Linked DNA regions of Bombyx mori. The protein of the gene in region 2 interacts with the protein of the main gene of each other region in a pairwise test. Links are inferred from orthologs where the notes say so. Each region holds a gene or a part of one and is shown on either strand. Other genes may lie near its edges.

The links.
Region 1: the proteins of replication factor C4 (region 2) and PRKCA-binding protein interact in a two-hybrid assay, tested with the Caenorhabditis elegans proteins (3 studies listed by BioGRID). The link is inferred for Bombyx mori from reciprocal best matches to the Caenorhabditis elegans genes rfc-4 and Y57G11C.22.

Annotation. Positions count from the first base shown.
Region 1 is NC_085134.1:7,524,726-7,527,607, forward strand, and holds the end of PRKCA-binding protein, read right to left. Parts: coding exon 2,746-2,882; intron 2,604-2,745; coding exon 2,501-2,603; intron 910-2,500; coding exon 550-909; 3' UTR 536-549; downstream 1-535.
Region 2 is NC_085121.1:12,204,915-12,209,221, reverse strand, and holds the start of replication factor C4, read right to left. Parts: upstream 2,814-4,307; 5' UTR 2,512-2,813; coding exon 2,402-2,511; intron 2,334-2,401; coding exon 2,058-2,333; intron 251-2,057; coding exon 32-250; intron 1-31. UniProt on the Caenorhabditis elegans protein: The elongation of primed DNA templates by DNA polymerase delta and epsilon requires the action of the accessory proteins PCNA and activator 1. This subunit may be involved in the elongation of the multiprimed DNA template.

The DNA.
Region 1 (2,882 bases), on a different chromosome or scaffold from region 2:
TACGACTCACCTGTGAGACTTCAAATGCTTGGCCTCGGCCTGAAGATGAATATGGGCACCTCATTTTTCCGCAGCTCTCGTATAAGGGGGTTCGACGTGTGTCGTGAAAATTATAATTGGCGTAATTACTGGTGGTAGGACCTCTTGTGAGTCCGCACGGGTAGGTACCACCGCCCCGCCGATTTCTGCCGTGAAGCAGTAATGCGTTTCGGTTTGAAGGGCGGGGCAGCCGTTATAACTATACTGAGACCTTAGAACTTATATCTCAAGGTGGGTGGCGCATTTACGTTGTAGATTTCTATGGGCTCCAGTGACCACTTAGCACCAGGTGGGCTGTGAGCTCGTCCAACTATCGAAGCAAAAAAAAAGATCGGTTTGCCAATTTGAATGCATAATCCCACTTACGCATTAAAATTGGCACTTCTAACAATGCCTTGGGTTAGACGACGGCATTAACATCAACAGGTATCAGCAGAACCTAAATACCAAGTAAAATAATGACTGGTCTGTTTACATAATTAAAAAAAAAGCTCTCTTTATTCAATCTATTTATTTTCCGATACTCAAATCGTTCAACAGCTTATCGAAAACGTCATCGACGTCGCTGCTGCTCTTCGGCATGAAATCGTCCATCAGTCCGTTTTGGAAGCTCCCGAATTCGTCATTGGCTCCCGCGTCCGCCAGCCCTAGCTCTGTCAGGAGTGTCAAGTTGTCCGAAACGTCATTATTCTCGGACCTGTCAATGTCAACGGTGTCGATACCCGGGAGAAGCTGTTCGGTAGCGTCATTGTGCTCATTGTCGTCCGTCTGACGTTTCTTCATCAACTTCGCCTCTCTCGTGTCGTTAACAGACAAATCGTGGTACTCTTGTATTTCTTTTGCGTATTCTATATCTTCATCTTGGACGTCCTAGATTTTTTCAATTTAAAAAAAAAGTGTTTTGTTTACCTATTCGCTTGTAGGTGAGCTCACAGGCTCAACCTGAGAGAATTTAATAACACTCGCCCTAGCGAGAGCAGTGCTTCGCTAAATCTACCACCAGATCGGAAGCGCAACCCACTGAGAAGATTCGATGAGAAACTCAATGGGTTAATGAATATGTTCCTTCGAGCTTCGCGATTTCTTTTTAAATAAGGCAAGCGCGGCTTCGATCACATTACCAGAATCCGTGTTAGTTACATATCAGCAATAATAAACAGACTACCCACGCGGTTAGCATTAAACTACAGCACAAGGAAGACAGTAGGGGCTTAGCAGTAATACGAAATATTAACAAAAAAAGCTAGTCCTCATCAACATCATCATCATCATCAGCCTATAGCTGTCCACTGCTGGACACAGGCTTCTCCAACTGCCCGTCCAGCTCTTGCCAGCCACGTGTAGGTGTGCTCACCTTGCCAGTCCTGCATTTCATCTACCAATTCGTTTTCACCCAAGAACACGTTTACTCCAACGGTTATCGGTCCTCCGGGTAAACAGTCGACGTCGCCCTAAACACGTAATTACGAATCCTCCCGATTCATTAACGGTGCTTTTAGGTACCTCAAGCACCAGTCACCATCCTCGCCGAACCCGTCACTTGCGACGAAGAGCTCGACGAGTAAATTAGCCCATAGACATAGCCAACTGAGTTTATCGCCGGATCTTCTCAGTGGGTCGCGTTTCCGATCCGGTGGTAGCAGAGGCGGATTATCCGTAAGGCAAACTAGGCACGTGCCTAGGGGCGCGCGCGCGAGCTCAGAATTTTTAAATAAATAAAGAAAATAACATATCGACGATTAAGGACTAAATGCTGATCTATAATCTAAATGCATAATAGATTATTCCTATTTGGCCTATTTCCCAGAGCAGAGAGTAATCATGAATTTCGATGTTCGTTCTGTCGTCCCTCTTGATTTCTTCACAGTTATAACGTCATATTTCATTTGCGCATTAGCGTAAGTACAAGGGTCCTGGTCTACTAAAGTCTAGGGTTTGATGATACAACGTCATCGTAATTGCAAAAACAACTAGTTAAAGATTATAGTATTATGATGGCCATTTATGGCCGGTACAGGGACGCCCAATAAAGTGATTGCCTAGGGCGCTCTGGACCTTTAATCCGCCACTGGGTGGTAGATTCTGCGAAGCACTGCTCTTGCTAGGGACAGTGTTAGCAACACTTCCAGTTTGAGCCCCGTGAGCTCACCTACAACTTAGGGCGAAGCTGATATAGCCTCTCAACGCTATCAGCATATGTAAGAGAAAAAAAGGTCCTCTGGCTAATGTGGCCGGTCCATTGCCACTTCAGCTAACTACTCAGCTGTACTAAGCCGATTTCAAAAAAATAAAATGCGAACATCATTAGAATAGTCGAAGTTAATTGAATATGCATTATTAAATAGACTTAAATGGAACCTCATGAGTAGAAACAGTCTTCAAATAAATAAAAAGGACTATTAAAATTGGTTCAACTAGAAGGATAAGCTGCTCCATTTTTAAGTGGGTTAAAAACACTTACCTCACTAATTTGACCTGCCGATTTATACTGAAAACAGTTCTGCGAGAGGTCAACTTCGACTGGGAACAATGTAGAATTCTCCATTAAATGCTCCAAGGTTTCGCTGTAAAAGGTTTTTAAGTAAACTCTTTCATTAACGGCCTATATTTTGTTTCTATATTGGAGTATCCCAAATTTCAGTAAAACCGGATGTCTTCAACGAACGATACCGTAATATCTCCACAGCCTTATTCACGGAGACTTACTTGTGGTAAACGGCCAGTCCCTGAATGAACTTCTTGAGTTGATGGGCGACGTCCTGCGCTTTCTTATTCTCTAGAAGCTCCAGCTTTACCAGAACGTCCGACCTGAGTCTGGCGAACCTTGTTCTGGCGTCTTGGCG
Region 2 (4,307 bases):
AAATAAATAGGAGGTTTTGCAAACTTCTTACCGTTTAATAACATTCTCTCTAGCTAATGGCTTAAAGCGAAATTTTGAACAGCGACTCGTGATTGGCGGTATGATCCTTGACACATAGTTGCAGATGAGACAGAACCGTGTAGTACGAGTCTCGCGTTCCATAGTGCGTCGAAGTGCCGCTTGAGCTGCTGTAGTCATCGAGTCTGCTTCATCCAGAATGACCAGTTTGTATGAGGGACATGGTCGACCACTATACGAACATGTAATATTTAGCAGTATTGCTTGATTATACAAACATGCACTTGTCATTGTATATATAATACATACACACAAATATGTATCTCTTATTCAAAAAAATGGGCCAAATGATTTTCTTAGTCTCAAGTTTATAGCACGACACACCCTTTTTTTATTCCTTCCATTATTATTATTAGGGATTTTCAACTTATTTTTAATTCTTAAATCTAGTGGTACGTTTTGATTAAATCATGACATGATAAAGACAGCCTGTTAATTTTGTTAAAATGTAGTTACCCATTTCAGTTCTAAGGGTGAGAGAAACATTTAGCTCTTCAATGAGCTAAGTTTGTTTAAGAATTTGCACATATTGTTTGACAATTTTTAAATAATATTTTAATATATTATCTTACTATATGCAAATAAGTATAAAGACTTTGACCTCATGTGTCAAGGTTTAAGGTTGTGGGATTTAAATTGGACATTAATGAACATTCACATGCTTAGTAACAAACTGACCTAAATCCTAAAAAAGCAAATTGTTTTCAATTGACTCTCACAATCTCAGACTCATAATGGTTTATGTCAGTACCATTATACAATCTTGGTCAAAATATACATACATAAAAGAGACAAATACATACTTAAGAAACGTTCATGAATGACTTTGACGGTGATGGAAGAACATCAGGTAATAATAATCAAACTGGCAAAAATTATAAATTGCGTAATTAATGGTGGTAGGGCGTCTTGTGTGCCCGTACAGATAGTTACGACCCCTTGCCTTTTTTGCTTTGAAGTGCCAACCAGAGCATTTCGGTTTGCAGGTGTGGCAGCCGTTGTACCGTAAAACTGAGACCTAGAACTCATGGATGGAGGAATTTATGTTGTTGCTGTTTATGAGCTCCAGTTACCACTTAAACCAAGTGGACCGTGAACTCGTCCACCCAATTTAGCAAAAAAATAATATTCATAAAAATTCTGAGATATAAATCTCTATAATTCACTTAGGATTTAAATCATAATTGATCACGCTATTAATAAGGATATGAATTATTATGTCTAAGTCATGAAAACAAATAAAAATATTATTTGGGTTTCAAGTCACCTTTACATACATTACATCTTTTATTTAGGGGCCCAAGCTAAGGTAATATAATTAATAAATTGTCCTTTTTATTGTTGCAATTAATTAGGTTTCAGTAACATCAACTGCAAGCCCTTTAAAGTTTTAAATTGATACGAACAGATGTAACATCAATTTGACGAATGTAACATCAATTTGTTAACTTGTTAACCCACTGAGTTTCTCGCTGGATATTCTCAGTGGATCGCGAGTCCGATCCTGTAGTAGATTCAGCGAACCACTGCTCTTGCTAAGGCTAGTGTTAGCAATTCCCTCTGGTTGAGCCCGTGGGCTCACCTGCCAGTCCATGTGAAGTTGGATGATTAGGAAGGGAGAAAAAATTACATGTAATCGAGTAGTTGTGGTTGAGGCTGCCACTCAAGTAAGGACCAGTTTAGTCATGGTATGTTATTATAATTGATAAGGATATAGATAAGCTAGTATGCATCTACTAATAAAATGGAGTGGTTTCGAAAAATAAAATGAATAGTAATTTATTTTTTTCGAATTAAAGGTTGTTAATAAATTATTATTTCTAAATGTAATTAGGATTAACACATTAGGATTTCATTTAACAGTTACAGTTGGTCATGGCAGCCTTTTTTAATCAGGTAAATAGGCAGGAAATTATGACTTATGTCTGCTTATTACTGCTGTATATTACAAATATTATTGGTAAAATCAGAGTACTTACTCAGCTCTTTTTCCGCTAACTGTAAGCTGGGCAAATGCTTTAACTTTATCTCTAACGACTTGTATACCGCGTTCATCGGATGCATTTAATTCCAACACGCGGTCTCGACTGATATCTCCGAAGAGTTGCTTTGCAGCGGCAAGTATGGCACTCGTTTTACCGGTACCCGGCGGTCCATAAAATAGTAAATGCGGTAGATCTCCACCGGATAAACATTCCCTTAGCACTTGAACAACCTCTCCTTGGTCCACTATATCGTCTATTGTCTTCGGTCTACTGGTAAAGAAGATTATGATACAGCAAAATTTAAATTTAGATGATTTTAGTAATATTCCTGTACTTACTATTTTTCGACCCATGGAGCTGGAGGTTTTTTCTTATTTGTAGTTTTAACTCCAGAAGTTGACGCTTTGTCTCCTGCAGATATCTTTCCAGTCTTAAGAAATGCTTGCATTTTATGAGAGTATTTACTGATTTCCTTTTCACTATTTTGAAATTCACAATTTTTTTGACCTGTTGTTGAATTGCTTTGAGTTGAATTTATCAGGCATGGGGAGCTTGTTAATACAGCCACTTTCTTGTTTTTTAGAAAGTTAACGTTTTTTAGAATTATACACGTAGACTTTTTGGCACGAACACATTAGACATAGCATTATAAGTTTCGAAAACTCTTTCGTATTATTAGTTTAATGTTCCTTCAGGTTGGAACGAATTTAAATGGCTATTTTTTTAATTTTCTAGCATCTTCAAAATTGCAGAAGTATCGTAAAATAAACTAAATCGCCGGACGTGACTTCTCGTGTTCTTCAACTCTGAAGTCCATTGAAGCTTTAGTAAATTTCCACCGTTTTACTAAGAAATAACTTTACTTCATTACGTCCAACAACCATGTAATAGTTTTATTATATAGTTTTTTATTTCTACGTAATTGTAGTAACCTATTTTATTTTCTTTAATACCATATTCAATTTAATTTTCACTTTCAGTTCTTTTATGTATACTTACTTTATATACAATAATTACTTTAATTACTGTTGGACGGTTAAATTTGAGGGGATTGGGTTCTGTAGGTGATGAGGGGCTATTTAAAAACACAACTGCTTCATTATAATTATATTGCAGATTGCTTGAACACTTTTACACCATTATACAATTATTATCTTTATATTTTTTTAATGAAACTATTACATGTTTTTCATGCCGTGTCTAGATGAGAAGTAACTGACATTTTCTTACGAGAATACAATGATCTGTTTTTTAAAACATTTAAAATAATTCCAATATTCGAAATCTAATCAAGTGTCAAGTGTTGCCTGCCATTACATTTAATATACAAACTCCAACACACCCCCTCAACACTTGCACACATTTTTCTCCGTCTATAACTTAGTACCAAAAAAGAATAATGCTAACCTGACCTTCATAAATTAATTCTTTCCATACATACCTAAAAAACCTCACAACCACTTACATTCCGTCACTTCTACATAATCCCTCTCAATTCAACCATCAACTATTCATTCAACCTTTCAAACTTAATACTATCTTTAATGTCGCTACCTTTAATCCTTTCTTACTTCTCCAACTCCAATTCGATCAAAAATGTACTTTCATTCAACCATACAACCTTAACTTCTCTCTTGACTCACTATATAAAACCTTAACTATAATAGTCTAACTCCTTCTCGACTTCCTACATAAACTCTTCAAGTTTATTTAAAACTTTTAACGCCTTCTCAACCTCTTTACTTTAATAACCTTAAACGCCTTCTCAACCTCTTTACTTTAATAACCTTAAACGCCTTCTCAACCTCTTTACTTTAATAACCTTAAACGCCTTCTCAACCTCTTTACTTTAATAACCTTAAACGCCTTCTCAACCTCTTTACTTTAATAACCTTAAACGCCTTCTCAACCTCTTTACTTTAATAACCTTAAACGCCTTCTCAACCTCTTTACTTTAATAACCTTAAACGCCTTCTCAACCTCTTTACTTTAATAACCTCCTTCTCGACCTCTTTAACCTAAACTCCTTCTCGACTCTAACCTTTAACTCCTTCTCGACTCTAACCTTTAACTCCTTCTCGACTCTAACCTTTAACTCCTTCTCGACTCTAACCTTTAACTCCTTCTCGACTCTAACCTTTAAACTCCTTTATCTCCTTCTCGACTTATTTAACGTTAATCACCCTCTCAACTTCTTTAACCTTAATCACCTTCAACTCCACTCACAAACCACATAACTCATAA